Linked DNA regions of Caenorhabditis elegans. The protein of the gene in region 3 interacts with the protein of the main gene of each other region in a pairwise test. Each region holds a gene or a part of one and is shown on either strand. Other genes may lie near its edges. The genes, in order: egli-1, sqst-2, Y41E3.7 and nstp-8.

What was found.
Region 1: the proteins of Y41E3.7 (region 3) and egli-1 interact in a two-hybrid assay, tested with the Caenorhabditis elegans proteins (one large-scale study listed by BioGRID).
Region 2: the proteins of Y41E3.7 (region 3) and sqst-2 interact in a two-hybrid assay, tested with the Caenorhabditis elegans proteins (one large-scale study listed by BioGRID).
Region 4: the proteins of Y41E3.7 (region 3) and nstp-8 interact in a two-hybrid assay, tested with the Caenorhabditis elegans proteins (one large-scale study listed by BioGRID).

What each region holds. Positions count from the first base shown.
Region 1 is NC_003280.10:9,322,159-9,325,577, reverse strand, and holds egli-1 (Transmembrane protein 41 homolog), read right to left. Parts: upstream 1,619-3,419; coding exon 878-1,618; downstream 1-877. Other genes in the region: eat-3 (Dynamin-like GTPase OPA1, mitochondrial), read right to left, coding at 530-690; Ras-related protein rab-39, read left to right, coding at 2,669-2,910, 2,964-3,153, 3,204-3,317, 3,367-3,419.
Region 2 is NC_003282.8:7,326,884-7,330,796, reverse strand, and holds sqst-2 (ZZ-type domain-containing protein), read left to right. Parts: upstream 1-1,821; 5' UTR 1,822-1,836; coding exon 1,837-1,905; intron 1,906-1,949; coding exon 1,950-2,100; intron 2,101-2,146; coding exon 2,147-2,251; intron 2,252-2,507; coding exon 2,508-2,911; 3' UTR 2,912-3,026; downstream 3,027-3,913. Other genes in the region: ocr-4 (Ion transport domain-containing protein), read left to right, coding at 1-245, 298-577, 652-897, 945-1,118.
Region 3 is NC_003282.8:15,012,425-15,017,527, reverse strand, and holds the start of Y41E3.7 (Golgi resident protein GCP60), read right to left. Parts: upstream 3,494-5,103; 5' UTR 3,485-3,493; coding exon 3,376-3,484; intron 3,328-3,375; coding exon 3,260-3,327; intron 3,210-3,259; coding exon 3,139-3,209; intron 2,274-3,138; coding exon of another isoform or gene 2,192-2,273; exon of another isoform or gene 2,032-2,191; intron 1-2,031. Other genes in the region: qars-1 (putative glutamine--tRNA ligase), read left to right, coding at 4,352-4,600, 4,672-5,007.
Region 4 is NC_003283.11:2,213,694-2,219,063, forward strand, and holds nstp-8 (Nucleotide Sugar TransPorter family), read left to right. Parts: upstream 1-1,958; 5' UTR 1,959-2,030; coding exon 2,031-2,099; intron 2,100-2,164; coding exon 2,165-2,260; intron 2,261-2,305; coding exon 2,306-2,403; intron 2,404-2,446; coding exon 2,447-2,585; intron 2,586-3,187; coding exon 3,188-3,310; intron 3,311-3,360; coding exon 3,361-3,454; intron 3,455-3,496; coding exon 3,497-3,628; intron 3,629-4,093; coding exon 4,094-4,398; 3' UTR 4,399-4,468; downstream 4,469-5,370. Other genes in the region: nhr-184 (Nuclear Hormone Receptor family), read right to left, coding at 1-119, 234-433, 481-539, 586-767.

The DNA.
Region 1 (3,419 bases), on a different chromosome or scaffold from region 3:
ATAATAAAATTCCGAGTGAGCACATGGTCTTTGATGTCTATTTCTCTAATTCTCCAAAAAATTTCCCATTTTTTTATTTCTGTTCCAGAGGTTCAAAGTTCGGAATTTTGTTTTCTTCTTCGGTTTTTTCCCGTCAAAAATGAAATTTGAACATCAACGAATAGAAATATTCTTGGAAGATCTTGGAAGATTATATAACCTCATCTTCAGGATAGGTAATATTTAGGAAACAATATTGCCAAAAATGTGAAATATCCGAAAATTTTTCGTTAAAAAATCTTAAACAATTTTTCAAAAGTTCAAAATGAGTGGTAAAAGACAAAATGTCGTTTTTTTGTTCGCTTCAAAATGTGGTGTTTTCATATTGATAAACGTCATCAACCAAAGATGCAAAAAAAAGAGAAGAGACAGCAGTATTACAAAACACATTCCCCCTTTGCGCTATCTTCGTGGTTTTTGGTGTCTTATTACTCATCAAAGAGCGGACAGAGAGAGAGAGAGGAATAGAGAGAAAAGGAGAGAGACTCACAATCCTCCTTTTTTGCTGAAAAGTGCATTTGTGCCGAATTGCCTGTTCTGATGTTGATTTCCATTTGAATATGCGGCTAAAGTTGCAGAAGTGGAGGCGGATATCCGGGAAAACTTGTGCAAATTGTTCGATATGAATCGGCGTCTTGTGGCGATCCGCATCATTGTTTCATCACCTAAAAATTGTTTATTAGTGAAGAAAATATGATTATTATGACAAAAAAGGAGGCGAAAAATAAATAAAAATAGTATAGAAATGAGTTATCGGCTATATTCTCTAAATATCACAAGTTTTGCACAGAAAGCAATGGAAAAAAAATGAGATCGAAAGAGGAAATAAGAGAGAAAATTAATCCGATTTGAGCTTCTTCTTGAGCAAAATAGGAGCCAGCGACAAAATCGCCGAACCCGTAAGTAAAACGATAGAACTCCAACTCCATGCTACACTGGTATGGCTCAATTGTTCCAGTGTTGAGCCAGCTTGAATATACAGGAAACTTGGTGGAGCAACGCCTAGAAATGTTCCCCAGAAGAATGGAGCCAGTGGAACATCTAGAACAGGACTGGCAATGTTGATTAGCCAATTTGGAACAATTGGAGTTACTCGAAGGAAAATCATATAGTTCAGAAAGTCATCACGATGCTTGCTCAGATCATCCTGCCATTTTGCGATTCTTTCGGGAAACTTTTGCAAAACAAATGATCGTCCAAAAAGTTTAGAAATGGTGTAGCAGATGGCGGCTCCAGTTGCAGAGCAGGAGCACACCAACACAATTGCCACATAGAATGGAAACAGGTATCCTGATAGAATTGTTAGAAAAATAGATCCAGGGATAGCGAAGGACTGTAGAAATACGTAGACGACAATTACACCGCACAGAACTACTGAATAGTTGTTCTCCTTGTACTTCGAGAGAACTCTGCCCAGCTGCTTAGCGTCTTCCAGATTCCTGGGATATTTCAAATGAACCTTCTCATCTGCCGAGACTTCAGGAAAATTGCTGTATACAGCAAAAATTGAGACCGCAAAAGTGGCGAAAATGAGTAGAACAAGCCACGGATGTGAAGTTTGGGATGATTTTGTTTCCATAATATCTGAATGTTAAATTCTTTTGTGCACGGACATTACGGGTGAATTAGTGTAAAGACAACATTAAAACATAGAGATGGGAAATAAAAAGATAACATGATTAAAAACTATTTACGAAATACATCAAAACTCGATTTATCCTGTAACATACGTAAGAAGTATGTCAAATTTTAAGAAGATAATCGTAGATTTAGGATTTTTACTACAACAAAGCCTCTTAACCGAAAATTGTTCACAAAGTGTGTTTAATAAAAATCAAACAAATAATTCGAGTTTTTCCTGGATTCAATAGCGTTAGTGCTTCACATTTAATTTAATCAAACAAACTTATGCAAAACTATTTCGCAATATTACTATTCAGATTTCTTTAACTGTGAGAGTTAATCTATATATATATATATATATATATATATATAATATGTTCTTATATATGTTAACTTTTCCGAAATTCTAATTGTGTAATTGAAAAGTTTTGGAAAACAGGTGTTTTCGAGAAATTTTGCAGAAAGAAATGTTGCATCTTTACTTGAACTAGATTTTCTACTCTATTCTTAATTTATTTATATCAGTATATGTTTAAAATAACGTCAAAAGCGGAAACATGAAACAAATTGATTCAAAAGAGCTCTATAATCTTGCGAAGACAGCGGAGGAGAGAAAACAGCGGTAGAGAAAGCAGAGAAAAACGAAAATCGATAATTTCGGATTCAAACTCGACGAGAATGCTTTAAAATTGAATTTATATAAAGAATACTCTCGAAAACCGTGAAAAAATTTAATAAAAATAATCATTAGTGTATATTATTTAGAAAACGGCTCTTCGGTGCGGGACCCGCCACCAAGAAAATTCTATGCGCCTTTAAAAAGTCAGCCGTTTTTATTTATTGATCATCTGATTTCTAAGATTTCTGCTGAAATTAAAAAGGTTTTCATTTAAAAAAGTAATATTTATTGATAATTGTTGCTCGGATAACTTTAAATTTATTTTCTTATAATAATTGCATCATTCTCTATTGGAAACGCTCAACAATATATCATTTTTTAGACAAAATGGAAACAAACTTCATTGGTGACGACTATGGACCGCTCTTTCACTACCAATATCGTCTTATCGTTATTGGGGATTCAACAGTTGGCAAATCTAGTCTTTTACGGTACTTCACAGAAGGAAAAATGGCCGAAATCAGCGACCCAACTGTCGGAGTAGACTTTTATGCAAGGATGATTGAGTTGAGGCCTGGATATCGTGTTAAATTGCAACTATGGGATACAGCAGGACAGGAAAAATTCAGGTATGTGGATTTTTTTAAAAAGAATATTAGCTGATTAAAAAAAATATTTTTAGATCAATTACAAAATCCTACTATCGGAATTCTGTTGGAGTCCTTGCAATCTACGACACAACGAATCGAGAAAGTTTTGAGCATGTTGAAAATTGGGTTAAAGAAGCAGCATTAAATTTGGGTGGTCCAAGCCCATCGAAGTGTGTCTTCCAATTAGTCGGAACAAAAAGTGATATGGATTCACAGCGACAGGTAATTTTTGAACAAAAGTTGTGTTTAAAAAATTGGTTAAAAGCTTTCAGGTAAACTATGAGGAAGGCGAGTACTTTGCCAAGTACCATAAAATGAAGTTTATCGAGACGTCGTCGAGAACAGGAGACAATGTTAATGAAGCTTTTCATATGATTGCACAAGAGGTTTTTTTGAAAATGTTTCAATTTTATGATGTAATTTTCAAATTTTTAGATTCAAAATCGAGTCGACGACGGAGAACTGCGGCCCGTGGATGGCTGGGAAGG
Region 2 (3,913 bases), 7.7 Mb from region 3:
CATTTAATTTGCGTTACGGGGGCAACACTCTATTTAGTGCAAGCTCTTCTTCATATTAAAAATGTTGGATATCATTTATATGTACTCGGACTTTCTGGATTTCCAGCCAAAGCTATTTTCCTATTTTCCTGTATTCTAATGGTCATCACATTTTTTCTGAGAATATTTTGTTTGGATGAAGCCGAGGATATTGTTTGGATAGTGATTGTTTTATTAACTTCATTGAAATTTCTGTTCTTTTGTAGGTAAGTACGCTTTATGATTAGATCCACAATAGGAAATAAACTACTTTTCCAGAGGATTTAAGTCAGTTGGACCATTCGTCTTGATGCTCTATAAAATTATAATTCGTGATTTAATGAGATTCTTCTTGATCTATTTGGTCATTGTAGTTGGCTTCTCTCAAGCATTTTATGTCATATTCCTCGGTTATAAGAGAAGTGATTCTGGAAATCGTGAACCAAGCATTATGAGTAACGTTGCGGAAAGCTACGTACGGATGTTTATCATGTCACTCACAGAGTTTACTGTATTTTTTGAGCAATTGGAAGAATGTGAGCATACCGTTATTGGAAAGGTAGGCTTACACTTTTTTTAAAACAATTCTAGACTAGAAAGATCATCGAAAAATATAGAATTTTTGATTTTCAGATAACATTCGTAGTCTATATGCTTCTCGTAACACTTTTGCTCATTAACATGCTTATTGCTATGATGACTAATACTTATACAGAAGTCTCTGGAAATTCATTAGAGTGGCTTCGACAATGGTCTGCAATTATTCTAATGATGGAACAAAGTTTTGATCCAGCAACCAGGTTACGGTATCAAAGAAGATATGGAATACGTTTTGATGGAGGTGAAAAACTAGTTTTATTGTTAAAAGATAAAATGACAGTGAGTTCCTCTTACACATTTGCCAATAGTTTGATGATAAATTTAAGGAGGAAGAATTCGAGTGCCAGCGGAAGAAAATGCACGAAGAGCGTCGTAAATTCCGTGAGGAACTTCGCACAAACCAGAGAAGACGGCCAGTATTTATATGCAAGCAAGGAGCAAATTATTTCAAATCGAAGCATCGACATACTAATAATAAGTTGATTATTCCTACCGGCTAATTTTTTTTACTGTTTCATTCTCTTCCTAAAATAATTTGTCTAATAAATGTTGGATCTTGTTAGTGAAAAATGTGGAAAGTTGATGTTTCTTCTTTGATTCCTCAATCTTGCTTTTTTAGAAACCTTTAAATTTGGCAGTGGAAAACTTTAAATGAAATGGATGTCTCAAATAGTTTCCGGATTTAATATGTTGCATTCAAATATTTTTATTTAAGACTGTTTAATTTAGAACATTTTAAAAGTGTTTTTTACTATTTTTTGGTACTGTTGCAGTAACCATAATCAAGTATAACGATATGAAAACTTTCAAAACGAACTGCTCAGCCAGTCCACAAGCGGCATACTGTTAGTTTATTTCGGCAAATTTTGTCAGTTCAATTTGAAAATTTATTTATTAAAAAAGGATTAAGAACTCACCCAAGAGAATGCCCATCGTTTTTAGTGTTATTTCTAGTGTTATACCAAGTCAATTCAGATATTTCAAAAAATGCAACATTCTCTGATGTGCCTTCTTCTTTTCTTTGCTTTGCTCTCCAAAAATGACTAACGAGTGGAATGTTATCTTATCAAAAACTGCATCATTCAGCATTTGACAAGAGTTTCACTGGCGCTGAAATCAACATTTTCACTTCTCGACTCTTCCTAACTTTTTTTCTAAAATTGCTCATTACTTCTATAGATTAACTTTTTAGTTTTGATTTAGTTTGGGTCAACAAAAATGAGTAGTATTCGATACAGGAGACCACCAATCATAGAACGAAGATATGAAAGAACTCCATCATATTCGGTAACTTCAAGAATATTCGATTTCAGTAATAAAACTGTTTTCAGACGATTCCAAGGGATATTCATGTCTCATTCTACCATAATAACTATCACAGATCAAAGATTTTGTATTTGAATAAGTTCAACGCAATGGAAAAATTAATTGAAGCTGCACACGAATTGTATCCATCAAATGGTGTTTATCGTCTATTTTCGGGTGAGTTTTTTGAAATGAAAAAATATTTGTAATAATTTTTTAATAGATAGTACAATTGGTGCTCAAAACGAGTTGAATGATTCAGTGCAAGTTATGGAATGTGTTCAAAATCCTGATCATATTCTTCCACATCTACATATAAGACTGGAAGGTAAGATTTTACGGAAAACTTTTTAAAAAACAGTTCCATAGTCCTATTATAACAACCTTGTTAGTTCTTTGTTAGATAATCTTACAATTTGAAAATTCAATTATTCAAATTAAGTTTTTTTAAAAAAAGGAACAATGATCTTTCAAAGTATTTTTTATTTTCAAATTTTGAGAAATTTCAAGTTGTTTTGCAAAGGTGTGTTCTTATGTAACTCAAAACTAATAGTAACAAAATTTTTAAAAATTTAATTTTTCAGATTACCGTCCCAGAAGCATAAGCCGTAATTATCACGAAGTTAACGTTCCAATAATTCGAACTCCATCTCAACATTCAATCCATCAATCTGTTCGATTCAACGATAACAAACGTCATCACCATCATCATCATCATGATTCAATAAGAAACTTCGTCCATCATGACACTCCATGCCGAAACTGTTTCCGTATAATTGTTGGAAGCCGTTATCACTGTCTTCAATGTCCAGACTATGATATTTGTGGAGACTGTGAAAAAGATTTGGTTCACTACGAGCATGCTCTTCTACGAATTGTGACTCCAAGGGTTACAAGTATTCCTGATTATGTCACAGTTAACGCCCCAAGTTACATTTTCCCAGAACATCGTTATGATATCAAAAGAGAACATTATCATTGGTTTTAAATTGTATTTTATAGTTTTGTTGTTTTTCCTATTTATGTTGTGAACTTAGTTTTTCTGTCGGATTTCTGTCCTATCTTGTTATACTTAAAAAGACCAAAAAAGTTATGTAATTGCAGAAGTGCAAAAAACCAAGACGCATCCTCCATTCAATTTTAATTTCCTGAAATCTATCTCGCAAAAAAAAAAACAAAAAAAAAAATTCCCTCTTATTTTGAATTTTAAAATTAAATTTTTCTTGTGCTTTTCAGAAATCTGTTCCAATTGAATTTTCATTCCTATTGACTTGTAGGACTAGAATTAATAACACCGCGGACCACCTTTATTGAGAATTTCAAAAACATTTTGTAGGCCATGTTTCCAATTTTTAATTGTCTTAAAATTAACACAATGTTTCAAAATTTCTATTTTAATTGGCTCCATAGAACACTTTTCCATGTAATTAGAAAATGCCTACCTGCCTGACACCTAGAAAGTGACCAACGCTTACTGTGCATTGAAAGCATGCAAGTAGGCATTTTTGCATGCGTGGGAGGTTTCTACAACTCAGCCAAAGCAGTCTATTGTACCTACCCATTCCTTATTTATTCTTCCGCAATCACCAATGACGCGTTCATGATTTTTCACTTTTTCAAAAACAAAATTTGATTGTCACTGCCCTTATTAACTTTTGCCCACGCTTATTAAATTAGTTTCACTCCTGCAATTCAAATCCTACTAAAACCTCTCTGAAAATGTTATTTCTCCTTTTTGTTCAATAAAACTCAAATTTGAACATATTCTGATTCTGAGTTACACAAATATTTTCAGTCCCTTCAACCTATCATAAACTTTGATATTTGCTCAACATTTTGGAGAAAGCGATGAAGGAGTCAAAAACGGGCGGCCCCGTTGCATTCCTCCTCCAAACGCACCAAAAACTGATAAGATGTTGTTAAGAAGAAGAAGGCACCAAAGAAAGATTCTCTTATCACATTTTTTGGCAGAGAGGGAAAGAATTGCGCC
Region 3 (5,103 bases):
TTAGAAGCTCAAGACTCAGCCGATATGGCAAATACAAGTATTCCCTAATTGATCATTGCTATTACGTTGAAAAACGTTGATTTGCTCCATCAGCCGAGTCATCAGCCGCACAGCCCTAGTTGCGATTCCAAACAGCACAAGAACAAAAGGTTGAAAACTTGTCATCCCTGCCGTCTTGTCAAAGAAGACGTTATCTTCTGACAAAAAAAAACGGAAGAAGAAGAAGAAGCCGATGTCGTCTGTCCAACTAGTCGTCGTCCCCACATCCCTTCCAACACCATCATCTTATTAGCATTCCTCGCGTCCTTGTCACTTCTTTTTCCCTTCTTGTTAAGTTAGATTTTTGGGTTGAGGAAGAAGGCGAAGTCCGCCCGGGACGGCGGAGCTACACACAAATTCAATTTTGGCGAATAGAAAAAAAGGGAGGAAGAAGCTTCTTCCCCTCGTCTGTGTGTTTACTCTTACTACTTTTGTACGTCTCTTGGATGGAAAGAAACGGAAAACGTGAGTCAGAAGAACAGACCAGAGTAGCGAGAGAATCCCCACACAAATTTCGGTAGAAAATTTGATTTTCCACAAAGGAAAGCAATCCAACGAAAACAAAACCAGAAAAAAAGTGAACTACTACTAAAGAAACACGAGGAAACGCTGGATATCCTCGTGGGAAAACCTTAAATTTTGCTGGAGGGCGAAGGTGACTTCTCTTCAAAAAAAAGCAAGTGTCATGAGAAAAACACGGAATGGATATCAGCACTTCCTGATTATCAGACACAAGTACTGGAATGTAGATAGACAGAGAAATATGACGTATTTCTTCTTGCAATGAGGACTACATTTTGGTTGTAGAATGTTGATGAGAGGTTCTTCCTTCAAGTAAGTACGGTAGGACATTTTCCCGAAAATTTGACATGATAAGTGGGTCTTGCCACGATCTCAGTCACGTTACGGGTGCACCGCATGGAGTCCGAAAAGTCTTATTCCGATTTGATCTTCAAAAAATGCGGGAGTTGAGACGCAGACATCTCTTCTGATTTCACATGGTTGAGATCGTTCTGACGTCACAATTTTTAGAGGAAAAAATTTTCCGCATTTTTTGTAGATCAAATCGTGATGGGACAGTCTGGCGTCGCGTGGTTTCTGGCTTCCTCTCATAAATTTAAATGAAAGAGTTTGCCGAGCTAGGCCATTTTGGCTCTGCCATATCTGGGCCAGAACCCCGTGAAAAACTCAGAATCCGCACGCAGAAAAAAGTTCCGTAATCAGGAAATACCGTAGACAATTGTGAAACCGCCTCGAAAACAACAAAGTAACAAAACAGAAGGATGTGCCGTCAACTTTTTAACAGACGGAAAAACGAGAGAAATAGGGCAAAAAGGAATGAAAGGAGAGGAAGAAGCCACCCAATTCTCCAGAGATTTCAGTGTTGCTCCTCTTGAGCAGGAGGAGGAGGAGAGCCAAATTGGTGGGTGTAGCTGAAATTTTCGTCGACAAAAGAGGCTGAAAATCAATTTGTGACGAATTCTCGACAAAAACTTCTTTTCTTTTTTGAAAACATGTATGTCTATCTCTTTAGGAAAGAATACAAAATGACTGATGAGTATTAGGAGAGCCGGCTCTTATGAGGTGAGCTCATGATGGATTTGTATCCATATTTGGGGCTTTTTGGCTCAGAGCTCCGAGAGCATCAAAAGTAGAAGACCTTTCGGGCTGCCACGGTTTTCTGGCTTCCCTCATAACTTGAAATGGAAGAGTTTGCCGAACTAGGTCATTTTGGCTCGGGGGTAGATTTACGGCGCGTTGCGTGTCGCGTCGCGGCTCGATTTTAGTTGAAAAACTATGTAAATGTATTTGTCCGTGTGGAGTCCGGCGAGCGATTGTCAATGGAGCGCGAAAAATTCAATGAGGAAGGCCAGAACCCCGTGGGGCTGTTATTCGTCAAAGAACTGAACGAATCCTTGGAAAAAGCCAAAATAACTGGTAGACATTGAACATTCCTTCTCTCTCGAAAATCAAATTTGCACACCGCCTGCTTTTACGATAATTGGCCACACTTGAAAAGGTTCTAAAGAAGGCGTCCAGCAAAAAAAAATATATTTCGGACAGAGGTTTCAAAGAGAAATAATTTCTAGTAGCAAAAGTGAAGGAAGAAGCCGCCGGGACACACAAAACACGTATAAACGTCCCAAATGGATTAGACGAAACAAGACGGCGAGTGGTGGAGCAGGAGGAGGAACACGAATTTGTACTGACGAGCAACAAAGTTCGAAAAATCGCTGAAAACGGCTCTATTTGAGGTGCAAAATTGCCATAAAATAGGTTATTTTGACAGCTTTTTCAGATTTGCTGCTTAATTTCAGAGGAGAAGGCACTAAAATTGGAGGATTTTAGCCTAAAATTTTGGAAAATTCATTTAAAGTTTGAGAATGGCTTGAGGGCGCCAGAAGAGAAGCCTAGAAAACTGAATTTGTAAAAAAAAACTGTAAAAAAATTATAAAATTGGATTTTTTTTCCAACTTTCTGAAATTTTCAGCTACATAGTTTTGCGTGGAAGAATTGTGAATTTCGCCAGAAAACCAGCGTTTTCTCTCTTTTTTGGAGCTCGTTTTCCACTTTTTGTTGATTTTTTTCAATAAAATGCCGATTTTACTTGTCATATTATCTTTTTTTCGAATTAAAATGTTATAAAATTTAATTCTCATAAGATTATAAGGATATTCAGATTAAATTAATTACTAGAATTTAATTGGATAACCTTTTAATTCGATAAAAAAAGAATAAAACTAGTAAAATCGACATTAAAAAACGGTGCCACAGGGTTGCAAAATTACGCCCCGCCTCTTTTTCTGTGCAAAATTCACGGATCGATTCAATTTTTGATCAAATTTCTGAAGAAAAACCGCTAAAAATTAATTAAATCAGAAGAAAAGTTGCCAATTCTCCGAGATTTCTATCCTGGAATAGAATAGGAAATGAAAAACAAAATGAAATTTTTTGGAGATTGCGTCTTCGTGTGTCCTTCTTCTTTTTTTTCTCCAATTTTGTTCATCATTTTCGAGAAATGAGGGTGTGGGGGGAAATTGGAAAAGGAATAGAGTGTTTTCTTTTTTTTTGTTAGAATTTTGATTGAAAATCACCCACTTCACATCGTTTCCAGTGATATCTAGCCATCCAGCGTTGTCAAATTCATCGGAAATCTCTCCATGTTGGACCTGGAATTTAATTTTTATTTAATTTTTGATTTTAAAACTGGAATTTTCACTTGTTTGCTCAACGAGAGCAATTTAATGCGATCTTCATATCCAACAGGCTCCTGTTTCCCGACGTGTTCTGGAAAAAAACTCATTTTTTAAAAAGAATTTTTAAATCAAAAAATACCTTTTTTATAATATTGAACGGCAAGCTTGTAGCATTCCTCGAGAGAATGTCCGAATTCCGACTGAATCAGTTGAACCTCGCTTAGACGGACGTGGTTCTCGTCGGCCATCTCTGAAAATGTGCGAAAATTGATTTTTAAAATGCCAGAGCGCAATAAAAATCAAGGGGAAACTGGAAAGAAAATCAGATAAAAATCAGAAAATGAGAATTGCAGCCGGTTTCTAGCAATTTTCATATGTAATTTCGACATTTTCGGTATAAAATCCATAGAAATTAGATTAAAGATCACAATTCGAAGTAAAAATCAATAAAAAATCCAGATTTTCAGAACTTTTTAATGCAAAAACACGAAGAACAACGCTGAAAAAAATGAACGTGGATCCGATGTGGCACACCATTTTGTGATGTTTTGTGTGTAAACACCGGCACGCGAAAATGCACACTTTTGCAGTTTTCAGCTGCAATTAGCAAGGAAAAGCCTATTTTAAAAGTTTTCCAGTGGTTTTTTGGCTTTTTTAAAATTATTTTTTCCAGATTTGAGGCTAAAAATTTGATTAAAAATATAGAAATATTGTATTTAAACTCAAATCCCGCGAAAAACTCGGAAAAAACTGAAAAATTTAGGGTTATTCGGCTAAAATCAAGAAATTTGGAATTTCTCCAGATGTTTGCAACTTTATCATAATTCCTTATTGTAAAAACTGTTTTCTCACTCAATTATTCAAGATTTTCCCGAGATTCGACGAAAAATCTTCTAAATTCTCCCTAAATTTTGTATTTTCAAGGTTTTTTAGGCTGTTTCAGGAAGCGATTTGCTTTTTTTTCAGTTTTTCTATAGATTGCAACTTTCCGCGAAACTCAGAAAACGGAAAACTGGACTTTCTTTAAAAACATTTATTTTCTAGAATTTTCTTCCGCTTCTCCACTTTCTAACTTCAAATTATTCAAAAAAATTCACAAATTTTCCAGGGTAAAAATGGCAACAAAGGAGGAGCTTCTCTCTTTGGGCCTCTCTGATTCAAAAGTAGCTGAAACGCTGAAAAATGTGAAGCTCACCGAAACGATCGGTTCAATTGTGAAGCTTGCGAGCGAGTCTGGCGAGATTTCCAAGCAAAAAGGAACACTTTTGTACCAGTTGGCGACAAAGTTGAAGCCACAAGTCGCTGCTCACACTCCACTAGTTGTCAAGTATATTATGAATGACGGGATTAAGACAGAGCCACAGGTTTGTAATTAAAATTAAATTTCAAATTAAAAAAAAAACAGCTAAATTTCCAAATTTCAAAAAAATTTCAGCTCTCCGCAGCGATCGAGTATCTTCTCTCGCACACCGTTAAAGGTATCCAAGTGCCTGATTTCGAGAAATCATGCGGAGTCGGCGTTGTTGTCACAATCGACGACATCGAAGCGGCCGTTACCAAGGTGATTGGCCAACACCGCGAGAAAATCGTCGCCGAGCGGTACTCGTTCCCGGCCGGAAAGTTGCTCGGCGAGCTACGAGCTCTGCTTCCATGGGCTGATGGTGCGATTACGAAGAAGGAGGTGGATTTGAGATTCTTGGAGCTGCTCGGACCGAAGACTGCGGAGGATTTGGCTCCGAAGAAGAAGGAGAAGAAGCCGGAAGGCCCGAAAGTAAGGCCTGAAATTCCGTACTGTTCTGAAAAAAATTATTGAATTTAATCTACATTTTTCAGGACTTTTGCCGGAAATTTGGAGGAATTCGCAACC
Region 4 (5,370 bases), on a different chromosome or scaffold from region 3:
ATATTCCGCACAATTTTTACTTTATGATTTGAGCTTCTTAACCGCAAGTCTTCCATTTCCAATGTGAGCTTTTCCAGGCTATTGCTGTATTTGTAGGGCATTGGTGAGTTGGCTAGGTCCTTAAAATTGCACAATAGCGAGCAACCGACAAATTACAGGACGGCAAAATTTGATGCGAAAAAAACATCAATTGGCCCGTGAAGTGTCGGCTTGTGCCAAAAAATAACCTTTACCTCCTGGAAAATTTCTGCAGCTTTGTGAACCAAATCCGTCACATCTATCACTGTCTTGAAAGGAGAAGCCTTTTCGGGCTCGAAACTTATTATGAATTCGGGCCGCCCGAGAAAGTTTGCCAAACTTTGTGGAGCATAAACTTTCGTGCGTTTAAGGTATGCATTGGAGCTTGAAATAAGGTCACGGTCCTTTTGAAATTCTGAACATTTAGATATTAAAATTTTTTAAAAATTCTTTTTAACCCACTACTTGCGTCCATTCCGACTTTGTAGCACTTTTTCAGTCGGCAAATTTTACAGCGATATCTAGAAAATTTGAAGTTTTTTTTTTCAATTTCCAGCAAACACATACGCTCCAGCATCAAAAATCCGGCAATCCCCATATTCACAGGCTTTATCTTGAAACCGAGGACTTCGAGAAGCTCTTCTGAAAAATGCGGCGCAAGCTCGGCAACTGAGCACACCGAAATGGTTTCCGTGAGCTGGTAGATCACAAATTTTACACGGTCCTGAGATGAGAAGGGCTGCTGGCATTTTGTCGTCTGAATTGCTAAAGATTTGTTCAATTTTTTTTTGAGAAAAATATTGGCGGGAAAATCAAATTTTCTCAAAAAAAATATGGCGGGAAAATCAAATTTTCTTGAAAAATACTTGGCGGGAAATTCAAAATTTCTAAAAAAGAATATGGGCGGGAAATTCAAAATTCCTCAGTAAACAATTAAGCTGGAAATTCAAATTTTTGTTAAAAAATAATTGGCGGTAAATCAAAATTTTCTCAAAAAACTATTTTTGGGAGAAATTAAATTCAAAATATTTTTGCGGGAAATTTAAATTTTCTACAAAAATATATAATGGTAATCAATAAAAAAAATTAAATAAAAAGTCCAATACATATCAGTTGACAGAAAACTAAATACATACTAGACATATAAAATGGAAACCAATGATCGGAGACGCAGACTGCTAAAGCAAGGCCTGGTGGGGTTTGAAGCAACATCAGCGTCAATAGAAAAAGTTGCCAAGAGTGACGAAACTACGAAAATGCTTACATAATGTGAATGAATAATTTAAGACAAGGAACAAATCTCCCCATTTTTTAAAAATTCAGTCTAGGCCAGGCTTGTTTGATGTTTGAAAAATCACACCAAAAAATGCGAATTTTTTTCCGATTAAAAAAATTTTTGACGGGATCTTGAAAATCTGGAGTTTTTATAATAAAAAAATGAGTAGTAATGACCGAATATAAATGTAAAAAAATGTATTAAAAGTTATTGAAATTTTGGAGATTTTTTTTGTTGGAAAAATCAGTGTATTTTTTTAGAAATTTTGAACCGCCTTAAAAAATTCTTCAAAAATTTCTAAGAAGTTTCATTACAAAATTCGTTCATTTGAGCACATTTTGGGCCTATACGCTCAAAATCGTCAGAACCGTTAGTCCTCCTTCAAATTAAAAAAAGGAAAAAAATTGAAGAACATTTTTGAAAATTTGGAAAATTGAGGTATTATACTCAAGATTTTTTTAGAAAAATTTTGAAATTTTAAATAATTAGAGTTAAACCGGATAAAAACATGTCTAACAAAAAACGAAGCGACAAATAAAAAAAAGGAAAATTTCACTAGACTTTTGAGAGGAAAATCTGATTTTTTCTGCGATACCAGGCGCAGCCTACATATTATTATCGCACGATCTTGAATCCTGAAAAGCCAATATATTTCCTATTGATTCGATTTGTTGCTTATTCTTTAAATACATTTGCTGTATTTGTAACTCTCTGAAAATTTAATTTTCAGTGCAAAATGAGTGATGTGAAACATCAAATTTTGGATCTAGAGATTGATAAGAAAGTCAAATCGAGTTCTAGTTCGGTACGCCAATTTTTTTAAAATTTCATTTTTTAATTCATGATAGCTTGGAAATTAGTTAATTTTAGATCATTCAAGGGTTATGCTCAATTCAACTTTTATCTATGATCGCAGTTACCGCACACCACACAGCCATGCCATTTTTTGTACAAATGGCTAATACGGTAAGGATCTTAATTTTCAATTGCCAAGAAAAAATCACTATTCAGAGCCATTTCCTTCCGACAACTTCGGTTTTTATGATGGAAGTTTTGAAGTTATTATTTTGCCTGATAATTGTTTTATTTAAAACAAAAAGTTTTGAGAAGTAAGATTCTGGGGAAAAAAGTAATGTTCCAACACACTTACAGAACTGGCAAAAAGCTATACGAACACATTTGGAAAAATCGAGTGGAAACCTTGAAAGTGTCGGTTCCAGCAGTGGTATATGCTATTCAGAACAATTTATACTACATTGCACTCGCGAATATTGATGCGACAACTTATTCGGTAATTTTTGCCCAAAATGAAATTAAGAAAATATGGGATCAATATACCAAATTCAAACTGTAAAAAATTTTTTAGAAATTTTTAAATTTAGTATGATTTTTTTTTGAATTCTTCATACAAATCACCTAAATTTTGGCATTTTTACAAAATGTTTAATTTTTCTTGGCAATTTTTATTGGGTTTTCATAGTTTTCATTAGTTTATTTAATTTTGGCACTGTTTGTCTTTTTTTTTAAATTATGTTTTTGAAAAGAAAATTTGGTAATCTCTAAGAAAAACGCTGAAACATTGAAATTGATCCAATTTCTTTGTAGAAAAATGTCCGAAAATGTGACAAATAATAATTCAAATTATGATATACAAACAAAACCGAGAAAATAAAATTTTAATCCTAATTATGCCAAAATGCCAAAATCTTAGTTGACTTACGCGAAAACTCAAAAATGATTCAGCACTTATAAGTTTATATTCTAAGTTGATATTTAAAAAGACATATTAACCGGACATTTTAGTGATTTTATTTTTTCTGAAATTCCTGGAAATTAGATTACATGAGAAAATTCACGAAAAAGTTACATACGTGGTATTTTTTAAATTTTCAGGTAACTGTCCAATTACGCATATTGACCACCGCCCTTTTATCCGTCATTATATTAAACCAAAAGCTCTCCAATTATCAATGGCTGGCTCAGGGTATGGCTCTCATCGGTGTGGTTCTTGTGCAGGTATGCTCCTCCTGGAGTTATCGACTCTAAATTAATGCCTCCAATTTCAGATTGACAATTCTAACCCCCATGGGAAAGTATTCGGAAATTTCTGGCTAGGGATAACGGCTGTGTTTGGTATGTGCTGGACAAGTGGCTTTGCTGGTTGGTTACTGTACTTTGGACCTAAAATGAAGTAACTTTAAGGTGTCTACTTTGAAAAAATGCTGAAAGAATCGTCAGCTGACGTGTGGGTTCAGAATATCCGGCTTTCAACTTTAACACTGCTTTTTGCTGGGATCACAATGCTCTCTACAGACGGAGAAGCCGTTCTTACAGGTAAGAAGGCTTTAAGGAGCTCCTGCTAAAGGTGGAGTAGCGCCAGCGGGAAAATTTTTTGTAAACCACTCCTATTGTGCCAAAATGATCGAATAAAAAAATTTTTTGAACATTTTTTATTTACAGTGAAAAAGTGTCAATTACTAAGTTTTTGCCACTCATAATTTTGTAAGTCGACCAAAAAAATTGTTTTTTCTACATTTTTTATACTTTAATTTTTATTCAATTATTTGTATTAAAACATTGAAGGGATCGGAACATGCGACATTGTTCTGGATTTCCTGAAAAGCCGATAATTTTTAAAATTATGGCAATTTGTCAAACCTTTGACCAAAAATTATGAAAAATCTGAAATTTTTCAGAGTGTTTTATTATAATATTTAGTTGTTTTGGAATATTATAAGTGTATTTACACAAAATCCCTACTGGCGCTACTCCACCTTCAATAAATTTTTGAAATTTCAGGAAAAATGTTCTTTGGCTGGAATTGGATAGTGTGGTTTGTTACAATTGGTAATTCAATCGTAGGTCTTTGCATTTCGTTGGTAATGAAGTACGCCGATAATGTGATGAAGACGTATTGCCAATCGCTTGCAATAGGCCTCACAGCAATTGTGTCCATATTCCTTGGTGACCGAACTCTTAGTATAGATCTCATTTACGGAGTTCTACTTGTCACATCTTCTATTGTGGTATACTCACGGTTCCCGGCTACTACATCTACAAAATATGAGCCACTGGAACAGGACAGCGACGCAGAAAAAAATTAAGAAAATTTATCGTTACTATATATTTGTTTGTACTATTGGTTTTCCACGGAATAAATACAATTTAATCAAACCAACTGTGTTACCGGGCGATAGCGTTCTTGAAGATTGTTCCGCTTGATTCAATATTCGTGTCTATCCTACCAAGAAGCCCGGCGGACATTCAACATCAAATGCGACGCTATTTGATGGATCTAGATGGAATAGTGGCGTTTTGATGAACTTTAGAGATAATGAAAAAACCGTTCCCATTTTCAAGATGTGCATTTTTATCGCAAAATTCACAACTTAAAGGTGGAGCAGCACCAGTGTAAATTTTGTCTGAAAACACTTATAATGAACAAAAAAACCGAATATCATAATAAAACACTCCAAAACTTTTCTGATTTTTCAAAATTTTCTGTCAAAGTTTTGGCACATTGGCAAAATTTGAAAAATATTAGCGTTTGAGAAAATCCAAACGAATGTCGCATGTACTGACCCCTACAATGTTTTAATACAAATTATTCAAAAAAAAAAAAAAATGTAGGAGAAATTTTTTTTGACCGACTTCCAAAATTACGAGTGGCAAAAACTGAGTAAGTGTTACTTTTTGACTGTTAAAAAATTCCAAAAAAAAATAAAAAATATTAAAAAAAATTTTGAAAAAAGTTCCATTATGATGTTCAGGCATTTTGGTCCACCAAATGTGGATTTTTGCAGACTTTCAATGTTTTTTTGACTCCCAGATCCGCAGTGCATAGCGCTTGAAGAACGGATCGTTCTTTAATTTTTTTTAATTTTAGGGAATCAAAAAATTTGTTTAAGATTATTCGAAAGAAATATTCAAAAAATTTGAAATTCTGTTAATTTTTAATATATTATTTCCATATTTCGCAATACAACTTTGCCCCGATTATATAGACACACTATGTCAATAACCGCAGTCTACCCCTCATACCACTGCCCGATTTTATTCTATTTGCACTTTTGAAC